Linked DNA regions of Drosophila melanogaster. The protein of the gene in region 1 interacts with the protein of each later gene in a pairwise test. Each region holds a gene or a part of one and is shown on either strand. Other genes may lie near its edges.

Region 1 (11,504 bases):
GACACTCACGCTCCGCCAAACTCTCACTGCATATATCTGGTCATAAGAGACTTTGGACTGAAGTACAGTTCATAGAAGATAAGCTTCTCCAAGGGGACTTGCGTAACCCTCTTTGAGTTTATTGGCTTTCCTTAAAGTCGCGTTTGTTCAGGTGACCTCTGGAGACCTTGAAAAGAAAGTGGTTCGACTCTTATGACACCGGTTTCTATGGTATTTAATATCAACAGGTACAATTTACCATGAAGAAGTATACAACTTATATAAGTGCATAAGTGGAAGTGCATTTTATAATGCGTAATGAAAAAGTAAAAATAAAAAACATCTTACCATGTCTTTTATGTGAGCCGTACGCCAATAAAACACCAGCACTTCCGTTCTAAACAGTAGATTTTTATTACTTTTAACCATTTGAATCAACCCTCCGCCAACCGATTGATATATAAGCTTTTAGAGTTCCCTCAACAACTACAATTCCATTACATTTACTAAATTTTAATTAGTATGACTTCTTTGATTTTTGCTTTGCGAATCAACAACATTTAAAAACTACGTTTCAACATTTGCTTCCACATATTGCTTTTAGGAGAGCACAGCGAGGGAGAAGGATTTGGGATTGTATTCGAGTTGGACCAGAATTTGGCCTAATATATTTGGATTTTCGATAGAAGAAATGCATATAAACATTGCTCATTGTGAATGTTTTGACAATATAACGATTACAATTAGTTCTTAGTTCAGTATGCTACAAACTCTTGGTTTGCCACCAGCTTGGGTTTCTCGGGGGTCTCTTTACACAGCGCAACTAACAGTTAATTAGAGTAGTTTTCGGAATTATGGCTACTTATTTGAATTACCGATAGGTAGTTTAAAAGATTCCCATAACGCTTAGGTTGCATTAGTCTATTATACAAGTATCACATTCCTTTTGATGATGATATATATTCGGTTTTAATTTGCATCTTGACTCGACTATGACTACACACGCTACGCCGGCTAATCCGTGATTATTATTGCTTAAGGGATCATCAGCCGAGGGATAATAATATACCTAGCCAGGGACTGAATTTAATTGCAATTATCACTAGGCAGGCTTACGGACTAGTTCACTTAGTTGCTAGCATGACATATAAAGCGCACAGAAAGGAACACAGTAGCGTAGCAGACAAAAACCGATGGCTATAGCCACCCCCCTCCTCTACTCTCCATTATCCTATATATCTAGACCATGCCGAATCCCTCGCTGCCCTCGCTGATGGCCAAAAGCAGCGACTTCTCGAACTGCTCGTAGCTCTCGTAGTCGGGCAAACACAGCTGGTTGAAACTGCAATCGAAAAAGTTTCGTTTTTTAGAGAACGCCGAGATTAAAGGCAAATAATAGACGATGGATAAAGTTCACCCACCAGGTGTGCGCCGTGGGCAGGTTGCCAAAGGTCGGAGCCGCCGTTATCTGGAACTGCGGATTTAGCTCCTGGAATCCCCCGGGCGGCAGCTGGGAGCATCCCGTGGTGAACTGCAGCAGGCGGGCCATCTCCGTCTGGCTGAAGTTGCTCACTCCGGCCCAAAACCAGGCCAAAACCCGCCGAAACTCAGCCGAATTGCCGTTGGCGATGTGGTGCGCCTTAAAGTCGCTGATGGAGTATTCCCCAGTTCCGCACATCAGCAGCTGCACACGAGAAAATGTTTATTTAGCGCTGTGAAATTAAATTAGCTAATTATAAAAGTTTATAATAACACTCACCTCCAGTTCGTTTTCATCGAAAATGCTGAGAAGGTTATCCGGTATAATGGAATTTAGACCCTTCAGGAAGCTATCCACTTCATCCTTGACGTTGTTGCACAGACGCTGCTGAGCCAGGGCATCCAGGTACTGGTTCTTGGTGGCATTGGTCACCCGCGTCTTGGCCCCGTTGGGTATCAGTTCGATGGTCTTGCTCAGCTGTCCACTACTGGAGTCGTACATCTCCTCCACGAAGTACAGCTCCAGCGTGTCCGTGGCATCCAGATCGGTGTCCAGAATGTACTTGATCTTGGACAGGTACAAGTCGGGATCGTCCTGTTCGAAGTACTGGTAGGTAAGGAACGAATTTAGATAGGAACATGATTAATTATCTCGTTTTTGCCGACTAACCTTGTAATGCACCCTCAGACCAATAAGTTGAGCCAGAAAAGAGCGACTGAATCTGGCTCTGACCAGCTGACGATAGGTGCCGCCCAGGGCGCTCTCAAACAGACACTTTCCCACCATCTTGCCGGCGAATTCAAAGTGCTTCAGCTTCAGATGGGCTGGACGGGTGGGATTCGGATGGACCAGCGCCTGGTGCTTGTCGTGGAAGGTGCAGAAGAGACCTCCGCGGGCGTCGAAGAGTGCACTGCAGACCAGCTCAAACCACTCCCTCCGCAAACCTCCCCAGTCGATGCCCTGTTCACCCTGGAAGGTGACCTCGAAGTTGCCACACCAGTCGGACACCGAGAAGCCCTTGACGGCCTTCATGCTGCTCTCCAGGATCTTCTCGCGCTGCACTTTCAGGGCCATCTTCTCGTGATAGTAGCTGGCATGGAATTTGCGAACCTCGTGGTAAAAGAAGTCCTGCTTGTCCTTGAAGGTCTCCGATCCACCAATGTTCTTCAGCAGAAAATGGGTGAAGGTGGCAGCTATGATATTCCGATCCTTGGAGGCCAACTCAATCTTGGGTTGGGCTCCGTCGTCTATGATGAAAACAGGGCCGTGCAGCTGGGACACCAACTGCGGCAGGAAATGGAACTTGGTCGAGGGACACAGCCGGAATGTGGCAATCCTCTTGGGGATGAACTTGAGGATCATCTCCTTGATGGTCACCTGGAAGATCAGCGAGTTCTGAGCCCTCACATTTCACCCGATGTCAACGTGCTGCCCAGATAACCACTCACCTGTTTGGGTCCCACATAGCAGAGCACCTTCCTCGGCTTGTTCTTGGACACACCGAAAATACTCAGCAGTTTGGCCTCGTAGCAGATGTTGTGCTTCCGGGAGGCTATGTTCTTGTGCACCAAGGTGGTGTCGCTGCCTGGGAGGGGTTACAAATTTATTTACTCCCTGTAAAGAGCCTGTAAAGATCCCCACACTTACTGCTCAACACAATGATGTCGAAGTCGCCGTTGGGCAGCTGCTGATCCCGGTAGCTGATCACTGCCCGTAGACAAGTCGGTTCCGGAAACAGAGCAGTCACCGAGACTCGGGAGTTGACCTTGTCGTAGGCGAAGACAATCGCATGCTGCAGTTTCTCCACTGGAACTCCATGCAGGTCGTATATTGCCACTTGGTAGCCCTGCAAAGTTACCCAAAAAAGTTAGCTAAAAGCGTTCTAAGGAAAATGAACATCCTGTACCTGCAGCGCCTCATCCGATTGATTCTGGTCGAACAGACAGGAGTTGCCGAACTCATCCCGTGGCTCGATGTGCATCAAAGTGGGTGCACCTGCGCAGCAGATGACCGTGCTGGCGGGCCTGATGAACCTGGAGCGCCTGGCATCGATGGCTCCTGGCAGGAAGGATCGCAGAAAGGGCGATCCGGCGATGTGGCTGGCGCCAATCAGCACGGATATCTTGTACTGGCCCGCAGTGCGAACCGTGAACTTGACCTTGGCGATGTTGGCGTTGTTGGGATCGGTGGAGGAGCCCAGCTCGCTAATGGTGACCACCTTGCGAGTGCCCTCGGTGACCTCGACAAAGAAGTGGTCCGTATCACAGATGGGATATGGCTGGCCGTTGCGCTGGAAGAAGCGCACCACGAAGCACATGGTGCCGCCCACGCTGGCGGGATCCTTCCAGTCCCACTGCACCTTGCAATTGGCAGGCAGCAGATACTTTCCGGTGACATATTGCAGCAGGGAATGGCGGGCCTACGAGTAAAAATGATGTAGTGAACAATCCGTAACCCAATCGGTATTTAAAATCCTCTGGCGTTTACCTCTGGGGCCAATGAAGGCTGCGTCATGGCAGCCAGGGTGACGAGGCCGGCGACTGAGACGGATACGACCAGCATGCCGCCCCATGTCCATGCGTCCTGATGCTGGCTGCTCTTGACCACAGTCGACCAGAGCTGCGCCTTCAGGGCGTCCAATTGGGCCTTGGACGTGGGCAGGTTCTGCCGTGCTCCCGACCAAAGCTGCCAGTCCTTGCCGAGGATCTTGCTGGCCCGTGAGTCCTCCAGCCAGTAGACGTCCTCCAGCGAGGCGACCTCCACGGCCAGCAGCCGTTGGTAGTGATGCTGCAGCCGGTGATCCTTTAGCCACTCGCGCAGGATCAGCTTTTGCTGCAGATGCAATGCGGCCCGCTGAAGACGCTGCTCGTCCAGGGGGGGCAGCTCAGGCAGACGCTCCGGATCGCCGCAGCTCGACAAGGAGGAGATTCCTAAAGTGAGCGGAAAGTATGGAAAGTATGACGTATTACATAAGGCTTATAATTGCAATTTTTAACTGTATAGTTCGGCAATGAGGGGAATGGAGCGCCTTACAAATAGCGGGCCACCAACTTTTCTGGTAATTGAGTTTAATGGTTAAAGTTTCGGCAACTTTGCCGTCATGTCAACTGTTTGCCAATGTCGCCATCAACGTCGAGCCTCCATCCGTCGCTATAACTCTGGGCTCAACGACTTCCGATGGTGCCTAAAATTACAGGACAACTAATTTGGCCAGGCGACTACGTCAATGCCCATTTTATTCCATTCCACCCATTTTAGTGCGCCCTCAACAAACTTCCAATCAATTACGTTTCAATTTTTTATGACTTAACCCAATGCCAAACCGAAAATAGCCAGGGAAACGACACTTAATGCGTTGTTTGTCGCTTATCGCCGGCTGAAATCGAAAACAAGAGGTTCCCCACTGTCACGTCAGGACCTTTTCTCCACCCCCCAACCGATTCCTTGAAAGCTTAACCCTGTAGTTACGAGACTCCTGCTGCTCCCCCCAATCTCAATTCGGCGAAAAACTTTCATTTGGCATTATTGCAGTTCAGTTGTTGCTGTAGCTTTGACTTTTCACCATGTAAAAATGTAAGTCGGTGACAGAAACAAAGCGGAAAACTTCAAGGAGGTGAGAAAATCGAGAAAAACACAGTTGTTGCATTTAATATGCTAAGTAACTTCGAAGGGGAAAACTAAGTTCAAATGTCTTGAAGCAAAGAGAAATTATAGTTAAATTTTCACGAAAAGCACGAACCAATTTTCCAATGTCTTTATGCCTTCGGAAAAGAAGACTATTTTCCCAGAAGAAAATCATTCCAGTTTAAAAATCTATTATTAAAACTTAAAAAAAAACCCAAAAGATAATTTCGGTGGGACATAGACAAGACTTAATGCCGACTGCAATGGCAGTGCCAAAAATTGGTAATGTATTTATGGGGAATCTCTGCCGATGGTAAGCCCAAATTAACCCCAGGAAAGTCAGACCATCCGGCTAGTTAACCTCGGTGAAATGCACTTAAGCCCGGCTCCCACAGCGGACCACAAAATCCAGCTAAGCCAGGGACCGCAGGAGTGCGAAAAAAGTACAGACCACGAAGGACCGCAAAGCGAGTAACGTGCAAACGAAACCCAGGCCAATTGTGGCCGAAAGGGGGTGGTGGTGGTCCTGCCACCGCAGGACCCACTCACTCCCCCTCGGAAAAAGTACAAATAATAGAATATTCGAGGAGGGGGTATAGGTCGGTGGTAGGCAAAGTTTGCGTGCCTGACATTCGAAAACGAATTCATTTCGTTACCAATTTCTTTCGTATTTCCAAAGCCCCCATTGGCCAACACACGTCCAGAATTCCTAACTTGTTCATATTTCGCGCGAAACGAACAACTTCCGTTTGATTTGGCCAAGGCGATAGGAATATGTACGTATTTCGATGGCAGAAAAATGCCCGAACGGCCCACAAAGTGCCCACAATGAAAAGTTACTTTCTGCGGAAAACGAGCTTGCCCTTTTTGGCGTCCTGCTACGAGAATTCCTGGTTATTTGTATAATTAAAGTATTTCCACTGCATATTTAATGGCGCTGCAGCAAACGACCTTTGGCCCGATGGCTGAACAGGAATTACTAATCGTTTTTAATTAAGGACCAGCGACAGGGTGACGGCGGAAAAGCTGGGAAAGTCACCAAAGTGGCGAGCTGACAAACAAAGCCGAGGGGAGAGGCGGCTAAATGAAAATGCCTTCCGAAGGTTAAAGCGCGACGTGCCAGGATGGTGATGATGATGATGTTGATACAGATGATGGGCATGATGATGAGGATAAATGTCAAGTGAAAGCTGCGAGGGGCAAACGGCGGCGGCGGAGCAGCAATGACTGATGAGGCCGACTTTTGACAGTCGCAGCTGAAATGATGTGGGATGGCAGGTGGATAACGCCCCAAGTGAACACGAACACCCACACAGAAAGGACAAAATAGAGACAGAGATAATTCCCTTATCAAAAGTTACTTAACGACATCAAAATAAAAGTAATTAAAAGAACTTAGAGCTGGATCTAATTCCATAACGCCGAGCAAATCGATTTAGATTTCGCCTCGAGTTAAGCATCTAATAGAATATTCACACTTGGGCACTGGAAATTCGGTCGATTGTTTTCATTATATTTTTGGTTAGAATTATTGAATTATAAATAAGTCTATTTCTTTGCCGAATCAATTACTTATGCCAAACGAGCAACGAGGCGTATGCTTGATGTTTTCATGTCGTCCTGCCTGCTGATAGCCATCTATAATTAATTAAGTTTATGGGGTGGAATAATTTCATTTGAAGCATGTGCACAAAGTGAGAGCAATACACACATTTGTATTTACACATATATACAAAACATCATTGAACAATTTCAAAATTAAATAGTGAGGTTTAGTAGAGACAGAATGCCTCGATGGCAATTCTTACCCATTGATTCACCGAAGCACAATTTTACTTTGAGCGTGGGAAAAGTCTTGCCACCCGTGGCCGCATGCATGACGCCACCTACGTTGATGTGGCTAACTAGCATGGATATATCAAAGCGAGTGGCATGATCTGGAGGACGTCCCTTATAGACGACAAAGCTGCGGATGAGGACCAAATCGGACCTGAGCGAGGCATCTTCGGGTGAGCAATGCATCTGACCCATTGTTGTTACTTGTGTTGCTGGTGTTAAATTTGACAAATAACTCATAGATAGACCTGCTGACTATCGAATTTGCACGTAAGAGTGGCGATTCGCCCGCCTCCAAACTCTTTTGTTCGCTCATTAGCCCAAGGATGGCAGGTTGGCCCAGGCGAAGCGCCGCCAAAGTGCTGGGCAAATGTTTGCAAAACGAGCCAACTTGGCCTATTAGCCAAGGGCTGCTTAAGGCCAGAAAATTTAATGTCCCCAGCGAGGAGTACAGTGCTTAATGGATAGGGAGGAGGGTTCTTTTTCTTGGATTTGTTGCAAAAGAAAGCAGCTTATAAATTAGTAATGCCTTCTATTCCATTTAACGAGCACAGATTTTCAAAGTTGGTTTGGCAACTAGGAAATGAAATTGTAAGCTCATTTTTTTGTTACACGTTACGTGTCTTTATCATTCTTCACGAAATTGATTTTACAATTTTGAAACGCGCTGTTATTGCACAATGCCACCTTTTCCAGAGGGATGCACGGAATGATTTCGCTGTTTATTGTTTGCTTTTGACTGTCTGCCCTCGCTTTTCCTCCGCTTTCCTCGCCGAATGCTCCGCTTTTCCATCGTTTTCCCTCTTTTTGTGCTCCTGCTCCTTTGTTATCCCTCCATTGTTGTGCTCTTTGCTTTATCCTTTTTTATCGATTGTTCTCCGACGATGGAGGCTGCAGAAATTACAATTTGAATGACATTCGATCGCAGAGGGGCGCGGGGGCTGCAGGGAGGGCAGGGACGTTAAGCGGTTGGGGGGAGGGGGGGTAGCGGGCGATTAAGGTTGCCACAACAAAAGCCGCAATATTTTCCTTAACCCACTTGCTCCTTTTATGTTTGTTTACCAAAGTGAAAAATGATAAAATTGCCAGCTTCATCTTCCACCGAGGACATCCTGTGTGCTGTGTGTGTGTTCCCGACCCCCCCTTCGCCCCCAACGCTTTTCATCTCCTTTGTGGGTGCACTCAAAAAATATTTTCCTATTTCTTCTTAATATACAAAAAGGTAGAAAGTGCACATTTTTTTAAACCATCTAGTCTTACAATGAACTGAAATTCGCTTTATATTTATTTTCATTTTTAAATCAAATGTTTTTCCACGAGAAAATAATCGAAGAGGGAAGGGGGTAGGTACTGTAGAACATTTTTCATTTAGCTCCCCATTTTGTTGTTCTGTTTAAGCTGCACAACCGAGTGGAGCTTAAAGTTTCGAGGGGAGATATTCAGGCGGCAATCGTGAAGCTGGGCGAGCGGAGAATGTGCGCTGGCTGCACTCGACAGCTGCAACAAATTCATCCACAAATATTTCATCTGCTTACAATAATTTATGTTGCCTGTCTGCAGCAGACAGCCAGCAAGAAAACAAGCAGTCGCAGCAAAGGATGTGGGTGCCAGGGATATTTGCATGTTTAATTTAAAATAAAGCGCACTGCTGCTGCTTTGCAGCAGAAACTCATGCTCGAGTGTAGGAAGGAGGCGCATGCGAATGCAGCGCTCACACTGCTGGGCGTGCCACACTTGCCTCAAGTGGCGGCATAAATTCAAATGCCACTTTGGCAACAGACTCGGCAAATTACGTATACGCAGTGTAGGCACACAAACGGCAACAGTCACCTCTCTCTCACTCGCTCTGATTTTCTCCGTATTGGCTCCCAAGTGTCCTCACAGCAAGCTGTGCTCACCTCTCCCCATTTAGGGTCCCCTTCCTCGCAGGATTCCCCCTCCCTTTCCGTCTACTCTCAATATAAATCTCGCAATTTGGGCGAAATATGTAGCCAAAATACGACAGAAATGCTGTTGGATGTGGTAATACGACGTGGATGTGTTACACTTTCCACTGCTAAACTTCAATTTGTCTAATTACGGCAGACTTTAAACAGGAAATTAGAGTAAATAACAAACTAAATATCTTATGAAAACTTAAATTAGAGAATTAAACTATGGAAAGACACTTATTAGTCCACTGCCTAGTAAGAAGCATAAAGGCCTTAGGCAAATTCAAATCTCGCCTCCCTCCAGACAAACTATAGTCTTCCCAAACAGAGAGAACAATTTCATTTATTTGGAAAAACATTTAGACACAAACACACGGATGTACAGAGGCTCGTCCTCCGGGGAGCGACAGCAATGGAGACAGGACAAAAGGACGGGGCCAGAAAAAGTGACATGGACACAGACAGCGGAAGTGCAGGAAAAGAAGCCATCATCACATAGTTCCCTTGCCCTTTGCCTGCTGCAGTTTACCTAAGCCTGGACAGACAAAATGAGCGTTGCAATGAAATTTTTAAACACTCACACCAGACGCCAGGCATTCGGAAAAAAGGCCCAGTTTGAAGGGGAAGGTGTTGCCTTGGCAATTGCCTGCAAATGATGCCACAGCCGAGAATCTCGGACAAGATGACTGCCTCGTTGGCAGGCGATAAGGAAAAACCAGGCAGGAAAAGGCAAGGAAGGCACGAAAGGAACACGAAAAAGAGAATACAGAGCAAATATTTTACTTTTTGAAAATTCCAAGAGTTATTAGACATGCATAAGTAGATTACTTTGTAACTTCTAAGCTTGTATAACTATCAACATGATTTTAGCCAGGTAGAAAATAACACTTTTATCTAAGTTCTTTTCGAGTGCATTTCAAAAGGCGAAAAGGCTCTGACTTGGAGCTCTTTAGGCCATCGACAAGCCACAGCTGTTGCACCTGTCTACATAGCTCACCTTTGTCTCATCTCCTCTCACCCGGCCGCCTGTAGTCGCCGCACTTCCCTTTCCCCTGACCGCCTCACATTTTTGTGGCTAGAATGCAAACTTGTATCCTTTGCATTCGGGCAGCCCGCACAAGCCGCACGCCACAACTTTGAAGGCAAACAGATGTTCGCCGCTCACTCGCACACGGGGGCATGCCACCCGCCCCTAACCATACCCCCCTTTGCACCAAGAAGGTGTGACATTAAATGTCGCTTAATTTGAGTGCCCCTTGGCGACAGCAGCTGCTGCCGATGGGACTCCGTGTGGCAGGGATTCTAGATGCTGGATGCTGGCGCACATTTGGCACTGCGGCTGCTTTGGCTGCATTAGAAAACCGCAGGAGGAAAGGGGCAAATCATCAGCCAGGGGCATTATTCACACTCAGGAATGTCATGAAGGGGGGTGGGGGGAGGGGCTGAATAAATTCTCGAAATAAATTGTACGGACATGAGATGCAGCTGCAATTTGCATTCCATCGATTTATAATTGAGTGGGAGTATTGCAGTTGAGCGCGGGGATGTGAAATGCAATTCAGTGCTGGCACAGAAATGCCATTAGAATTGGTTTATGAAAACACATTAAATTGCTTTATGTCGACAATAATTGCTTGGCGATAAATTTTCAATAACAGAGTAGCCAGGCTAAAAATGGTAGGCACATGTTAGTTGACCAATGCTTCATTTATTTATGCAATTATAGAATATTGCATGGCATTTGTTTGCCCCGATTAATGTGTCTTATTTAATAAAATAATATATTGTAGTTGAGTGGCAATCTCCAAGCAGCGATGTTCATTTTGCATACTTATCTGGCCCAATTTCACTGCAACAACTCTTCATTTATGGCATCGTTTCAGGCGCACTTCCACAAAATGCAAATTCAAATGAAATTTCAATTGGTGAATTAAAAGTCATTACAGCTCTTGCCACCAACTATGCATTTGCACAATTGTTATGCAAACAACCGCATCGAAAAAAAAAACCCTTAACCTACTTCCGGCTGGCTGGCAGATGATAGGATGGCATAAATTCCATTATTTATTCATTAATTTAAGGCCATTAGAATCCAACCCCCCATGGCTGAACCTAATCAAAATTTGCTGGCTCTTGCACATAGCATAAGCGTCGTTTTCAAAGTTTCGCTATTTGATTTTTTCTCTGTTTCGAGCAATTTAATTAAGCACGTGGCCTTTTTCTTTTTAGCTGGCGGGCGGAAAACTGCATTTTCCCCGGCCTTAGACGCGAAAATCCACAAAAACCAATTTGCAACTTTAATGCACACACCCACACACACACACACACAAGCGAAGCGCAGGGTCGGAAAATGCCGACGACACGCCCACTGAAAAGCAATGAAAAACCCACTGACATGAGCCTGCAACTTTTACCTCCGCTTCTCGATTTTTTCGGATTATTTTTTGCTTTGCCTGCATCTAACTGGGTAAAGAGAGGCCAAATTGGGTTAAAACCATAATGCCAAAGTATTAATGTTGCAGCCAGTGGACGAAGGGGTTTTCCGGGGCGCAACCGCAAACATGAACCGATTTAGGTAACCGCAACCTCCGTACACATACACAAACATATATGTGGCAAACATGGCAGAAAACATTTGCCAACTGCCATCAGCA
Region 2 (7,456 bases), 4.4 Mb from region 1:
ACCACTCACCCAATTAACAAGAATATGCATATGAATGTCGTAAAAATCGAAAACCAACCAATGGTGCGAATTGCCATTAATAAATCGACCTTAATTTACTTCTATAGTTGGATGATTTGGTCATCCAAAAATGTTTAGCATATGTGCAGGACTAAGCAAACAGCAAGGACATTGCCCATTAGCCGTTCTAATGCTACTTAGGCCCTATAATTATTATCGAGTACACACAGACCAATCAATTCAGTGTGGGTATGGTGTGCGGCACAAAGTGCATAATTAAGAGAAGGTCCTGCGAGGCTGGCCTGTTTGCATTCGTCCTGTTTCCAGAGTCCTTGCTGTCGAATGGCAGTCGGGACCACACCGTCTGCTCTTGTTTTTGTTGTTGTTGGTTCTTGGTTAATAGAGCAGTACTTAGTGCCTGATGGAGTCCGATGGCAGGGGCTCATTCTACGGCGCCCCAGAATGGCTTGGGGCTACTTAAACTTTTGCATTTGTGTGAAGGTGAATCTCTGTCTGCAAGGCAGTTATGCGCATTTCTGCATGAGTAGCTCCTGACTTTGCTTACCAATAGTGTGTGTGTATGCACAAATACGAGTGTAGGCTTGCTCTTACCTTCTACTCCACTCTATTATTCAACGAATGCAGCATACCCTTTTATTGCCAATACGATGTAAGCATGCGACATTGATCATAGTTAAGGGTTGTACATACATAGACAAATATTGGGACTAGCGTGTTGTGTGTATTGCTGTGCAACTTTTGCTTGCTTGGCTTGGCAGTTACTTACACCCTGTTTATATAGTCCACTTTTGAAATTCACCTCTTTCTTGGCTGCATACGAACCAACATGCCTAAACATCATGTGTGACGACAAAAACAACAGAAGCGGCTTTAAGAACACACATACCTATGTCACTCATTCACCCAGTCAAACTGTCAGTGCTCCATTCAATCTTTGTTGTTTGTGCTCTTGCCTGCAATTGGCAGTCGGGGCAGAATTACATTTGCTTGATTGAACTTACCCCGTGCCCCAAGACTCCTTGTCCTTATAAGCTTTTCCCCGCTTTTCTCGGACTCTACACTGCTTGGACTGCAAACGTACGGCAGACTAGAGGAGACCTCAGATGCGGAACAATGCAGCCTCTAACCGAGATGCAGCAGCCATGTCAGATACTAAGATACTTGCTCCTTTTACCTGGTCGACATGTCTCTAAATGTATTAACACTATTAACCTCCATGGGTTTGATGGAGTGCCTCCTTCGGTTTAATGCTACAGACAAACTTATTTTTTCCATAAAGCTTAAAGTTCGCACTTTTGAGATAGAAAATGCACAGTTGATAAATATATGTATGTGCGATGCTCTATATTGGCCCCTCAAGCATTTACTTAATCTGTCAAGTTGAGTAAACAATGAAGCAAAATAGAAGGACAGATAAATACACTGAGATAATTTTATGACAATATCTTCGATTTAAATGGAAATCATGAAATCTTGCATTAAGTACTTTTCGCATTTGTATTTACTTTGGGAATTCTGATCCCAAGTAATGTAGCTGAAAGAACTTAAAATTCTCTTATACAGATGACTGTCCAACATCTTTATTGGATATAGATGTGTGCATACCCAATGCCTCTAGGAGTACAGGGTATTTATTCATATAAAAGAGCACAACTTAGAATGTAACTTAGAATGATGCTCGGTCAACGCGCGGGATGAGCGATAAAATCAAAGCACAGTATAACCAAAACAATTGTTCAAAAAGAAGAGCAATTTTTTCGGACAATGAAGAAAGCGCATAAGAAGTGTTTTGAAAAAAACAAAAGTTTAACTCCTTTAAAATCATTAAAACGCTTTTAGCGCTTTTCACGCCCCTGGCCAGCGAGAATTTCCACCCGTCTGGCAAAGCGCTGGAAAGTTTAGTTTCGGCTTTGTTACCGAAAAAACAGAAAGACAAAAAAAAAAAAAAGGAAAACTGTCGGCGATGATGGAAAAAGTGGCAAAGTTTTTCTCAAAGGCATCACTGGCGAAGTATAAGAATAAAATGACCGACCATGAGTGACCGGAGCAAAGCTCTATGGGCTAGTAGATACCCTAACCAGATGACTTTCTTGCGAATAGATTTTGTCACTTAAGTGCCAGCAATGTGGAGGGCAGCCGTTCCTCCAGCCATGACTCCTTGGCTTTCGTCCTCCAGAAATCCTTTGTCCTTGGCCACAGTTTGAATCAAAGTGTCTTGGTCGTTCGCCATTGAAGCGAATGCGTAGCCCATGCCAATTGTGCAATTGTTGGAAAATTTCTTCTTCAGGTTTTTGGTATCTTTTATTTTTTCTTACATTTTTTTTTTTCCTAAAAACTTTATCGGTGTGCCTTTCATTTTTTCTTAACCATTTTTCCCCATTTTTACGCTCTTTGCCAAACCGTTTCCATAGTTTTTTTTTGCGTTTTGGGTTTCGTCTTAAAAGGTGTTGGCCATTATGCGGTTGCAGATACCCTTTGATCGAATATTAAAGGCTAATGCACAGAAATGTTCGAACGAAATCGAAATCAAGTGTTTTCGCTAAAAGTTGGCAAAGGGGAAGTGGCATGAGTTCAATCAATTTGACGAACTTCAATCAAGCTGCGCCATAGAATGAAGAACGACGAGCATCGCTGATTTGGAATCCATGTGGATTCATGCCACATCCCATTTGGGATTCCGCTGAAGTTCTGTCGTCAAATGGCAGCAGTCTGCAGTCTGCAACTTTAAGCTAACTTGTGATAGGTATCCCGCACACGCGCTCAGTTTGAGTTCGGTCAACAATTGCCCGCACAGACAAATTGGGAAGGAGCGCTGACTATTTGATACATTGTAGGGACCAATGTCCTGGCCATTTGCAGTTGCACGGGCACCAGGTTACAGCGAATCGATTCCCTCATTCAATCCTATCCCGATTCACCAGTCAGTTGTTGCCACTAATGCCCTTTCGACGAACAATAGTTGTCGAAATGGGGAAAGGATAAAAATGCATTACCTTCAAATAAAAAGTTATGTATTAAATTGTGCTGGTTTCTGACAGAGGAATTGTAATCAGCGCTGAACTCTTTCCTTTCTTATTTTCGCTGTCCTTAATTTGCGTTCGATTATTAGCAGAAAATAAAATATAATATAATTTGCACGAATTGGATTACCCATTATTTCTCTCAGTGCCAGCTCCGTAGCGATAAGGCTGTCGAACTGAGCGCAGTTCGCTTTCGCACTGGTTAATCGTCAGTGGTCGGCTTGGCATATCAGACGAACTAACCGCATCACCGACTTGACTACTGACCCCAATCTAAGCCCCTTCGTCTAATCAGCCAACTGGCGGCGACAACAACGCAGTTTCTGCAATCAAAATCAGTTGGAGCCAGCTCCCTCTAAGATGATGATCGAGTGGTGGCTGCCATGGGTGTGCCTCTTGCCGCTCATGCAGGCGGATCCTGTTGCTCCCCAGCTGGATCTTGGTGTGAAGGACTTCCAGCTGGAGCTTCTGCGCGAGTTAAGCGACCTGGTGCAACAGCGGATTGAACCGAGTCTCAACGACTACCTGGATCGTCTAGGACGCATTCCTCGGAATGCCAACTACACCGAAGAGATGAGTGCAGCTCGCGCAACACCAAAGCTTCAATTGAAGGTGACGCTCATCAAGCAGCTGCTCGACGTGCGTCCGCACCTGGACACGGATATGGAGTACACCATTGTGCTGCGCAACCTGGTCTTTCTGAACCGAGTCAGATCCACGCTGAGGGCTGCCGAGGAGACTAGCACACAAGAGATCCGAATGATGCGCATGCACCGCCTCTGCCAGCAACTTGACCGACCGGCTCCTCATCGCGGCAGTCGCCTGATCAACGAACAGACAGTCGGGGCGGCATTGGGGCAACTCAATCTGACCAAAAAGGAGGTGAACTCCACCGGCTTGGATCTCAATGAGTTCGGGGCGCAGCTGTACGAGCGGGTCAAGTTATCCGGCGCCGAAATCATCGACAACTACCTGCACATACTGCGTTCCCTGCTGCAGGACATCATCGACGGTGACCATGCTGATCTGGCCGGGAGCAGTGCCAAGCTGGACAAGATGCAGCAGCAGCTGGACGTCATGCTTGCCACGGAGGACTTCTTCGAGAAACGTCAACGGGTGTATGCGTACCTGGAGCACCACTTGCGCACCGATTACGAGGAGATGCGGGACACATCGAGCAGCGAGCACATCACCGAACATCTTCTCGCCCAGCTGAAGACCAAGGGACTGGACCTGTTCGTCATCTTTCTTTTTAGCAATTTTGAATTCCTAGACCTGGTGCACGAGCACTGGGAGCAGCTGTTGCCACAGTCACCCAGTTTGCTATACGACGAGACCGCACGCCAATTGTACGATCTGCAGCAGCTGTATCAGGTCTTCAAGCTGGACACGGAGTGCGAGGCCAAGTACACGGCCTACTCGGACGCACTGCGTCGCTTGCACGAGCGGACCGTGGAGCAGGGTCAGCGCAACCGGCACATCTTTGAGCTGCTCCACAACGCGGCACAAAGCGTCGGCACGGTTACCTTCAACATGATCCGGGCCAAGTGCAATGAGCTAAGATGAGATGACATTTATAATAAAACCAAACTTTGCTACTTAAATGATGAGAGTTGCGTGCTTTTGGCTATATAGTTCCACATACTAATATCTTATATTGAAGACATCGCCTGTGCTGCAATTGACAGCGTTTGAAAGGACAAGTTTCACAACATAATTACATTTTGCCAGTTCCTGCGGTTGTCGCCTGCTTTTAATATCCGTCTGCCGCATCTGATTTCGCTTAAGTATCGTCCAGGAACACCTTTCCACATCTTCGGGGTGAGCGGACAGCAACTTCCTTTTGCCGCATTATGCAGATGTTGCCGTTAGTGTTGCTTCTCCTGGTGTTGCCACTGCTCGTTGTTTATCAGATGCTGCCAGGGCTCTAAGGATTCAACTCTTGCTCCTGCTTCAGCTCCAGCTGAAGCTGCAGCATCATGGCTCCCTTGTGGTACCGATGGGCCTTCAGACTAATGACTGCTGCTGCCGCTGTCGTTGGCCAAAGCCAGCTAATTAATTGTCGTCGTTGCAGGTGATTAGAACTTAAATGAGTTGCCGGTGCAGCAGAAGTTTCCGTGGCACAGTTAGCCGTCAAAAAAAGGACGACATGGTGGTATAGCCATCCCGAATAGCAGACATGGTGGTTGCTATGTTATGCAGCTGTTCTGTGGTCATACGATAGCTTTTATATGACAAAATCAAGTGCGAAAGTTGATATTCTTTTATTATTTAGAACACAGTGTCAAGTTCAATTTGCTTCTGTAAAAGGCAAAAAATTATCTGATATATGTTGTTACAAAAGGCAGACTTTTGCATGTGTGAAAAAAGAATTCTTTAAATTCTCACTACAATAATGATAACTCTTCTCAAGAAAGGATGAGAAGTTGGGGTTTTTATGAATATATACATTTTTATGTTGATATTTATTATTACTTATTAAAATATTTATTTTTTTTTACTATTCGCAGTCATCAGCGAAGATCCCGAGTTCACGGATGTGATCGAAAATATTACAGTGCCTGCGGGGCGTAATGTAAAACTGGCTTGTTCAGTCAAGAACCTGGGATCCTATAAGGTAAGACTAAACAAAGAATTTTCGAGATTTATAATTTATATAAACTTAAGTAAAAAACGTAGTATTTGGCTTTGCAAACCAAAATCCAAAAGCTGAAGTTTCTGGCCGAGCAGGAATGAAGTCAACTTTCGGAACGACTTTTGGTTTGCGCTTAAATAAATGCTCCACCGTCAATCGATTGAAGTGGTTGATGCGGGTGTGGGGTTAATGCCAACTGGACACTACTCCAACCAACTGATCAATATTCATTGTGCGGTGCACACTTTTGGGCGGCGCTCGGCGTGCCTAGAAGAATCCATCGCATCGCATCGCATCGAAACGCTCTGTCTTGTGGCTCAGGCGACAATTTAAATTTGCATCCAATTGAATTTCCATAATGTGCGTGCGACCAAAACGTGCATAAATTTCATTCTCGACTTTCGCCTCGACACTCGGCTTGTAATAATTTTTATGTCTCTTAAGTTCGGCATGTGCGACCCGCGACCATCATCATCCATAGCCACCCTTAGCCACCCATAGCCACCTATAACCACCCATAACCAACCATTACCGCCCAAACTACGCCCGCCTCCGCCCAGCCATTCATCTCCAGGTGCTATCCTCATTGGCCTCAGGTAAGCTCAAAAGTTAACCAGCGAGGACCGCTTGTAGCTGCAATAAAACGTGACTTTGCATGCAAAATAGTTGCCTAGCGAGTGGGTGGCTGGGCCACCCATTTCGCCCATCGCAGCCGCACATTGGCTTTAGCACAAACAGACAGGTTGCCGGGAATTGATTTTAAAGCCCTCGGCGGGTATAACCACTTTTCCAACAAACTGGCCACTCGACAAAAGAACATGTATTAAAAGCAAACAAGCAGTTTAATGTTCCAATGAAAGTTGTAAATCGATGTACTGAAAAAATAGCTGGGGTACAAGTGGTTTTGGAAATAATTCAGATTTACAGCAAAGGAAATACTTATATCAAGTTATAGTTATAAATATTTATAATTTTTTTGGGCTACTAACTGTGCACTATGAAAATATGCTGTCTTGTAATTAAACTTTATATAAATACACTGAAATATTTCATATATTTTAATTAATATTTGGCAAGCATATCACATAGGGCATACGCAATTCGTTATGCTTTGTGTTTCAAAACTTTCAGTACTTCTTGTGCTTCCAAATATTTGAGCTGCGTGGAAATTAACTCGCGTAGTTCATAAGCGCTTTTTTCACACGTTTACTCGCAAATTGTTAATGTCGAGCGAGTAGGTTTTTATTAGCTGAAGCCCTTTAGCTACCCGTTTTGCCCATTTTCCACATTTTCCCGCAGCACTCCGTATTGTCCTTGTTTGCATTTCAATTTTAAACGCCTACACAAACAGTCGAAAAACTCGCACACATAGCCGAACGAACTAACAACAATGCCAGTAACATGAGCATAAGTTTACTTTGTTTATGTTGTTGCTTGGCCCCACTTCCAACCCGATACGCCCACTCCGCCCCCACAGAACATAAACATTTTCAGGCATAATAAAGTTTGTTTATTTTTGCTTCGGCTACAAGTTTTTCAACTTGTTTTCTTTTTTAGTTTTTACTTAAAATTTTATGACTTCATTTAGTATTTTCTATGGCAGGCGTCGTCGGCTAGCGGCGAGGAATTTTGTGCGGGGGATTGCGTTGGTTCTGGCAAGAGTTGTGCCATTACGCAAATTGCAAATTGGTCATTTTGTTTGTCGGCTTCTATCGAATCGAGCCATCAGCATGTGTCTGAGACAAGTGAAAGCTTCTGCTCCATGAAAATGAAAATGAAG

What was found.
Region 2: the proteins of CG4238 (region 1) and CG42369 interact in a two-hybrid assay, tested with the Drosophila melanogaster proteins (one large-scale study listed by BioGRID).

What each region holds. Positions count from the first base shown.
Region 1 is NT_033779.5:2,019,653-2,031,156, reverse strand, and holds CG4238 (uncharacterized protein), read right to left. Parts: upstream 7,146-11,504; 5' UTR 7,115-7,145; coding exon 6,892-7,114; intron 4,390-6,891; coding exon 3,947-4,389; intron 3,879-3,946; coding exon 3,366-3,878; intron 3,306-3,365; coding exon 3,107-3,305; intron 3,045-3,106; coding exon 2,908-3,044; intron 2,855-2,907; coding exon 2,129-2,854; intron 2,066-2,128; coding exon 1,739-2,065; intron 1,664-1,738; coding exon 1,401-1,663; intron 1,322-1,400; coding exon 1,219-1,321; 3' UTR 369-1,218; downstream 1-368.
Region 2 is NT_033779.5:6,393,039-6,400,494, reverse strand, and holds CG42369 (uncharacterized protein), read left to right. Parts: upstream 1-3,245; 5' UTR 3,246-3,401; coding exon 3,402-4,607; 3' UTR 4,608-4,642; downstream 4,643-7,456. Other genes in the region: DIP-epsilon (Dpr-interacting protein epsilon), read left to right, coding at 5,552-5,658.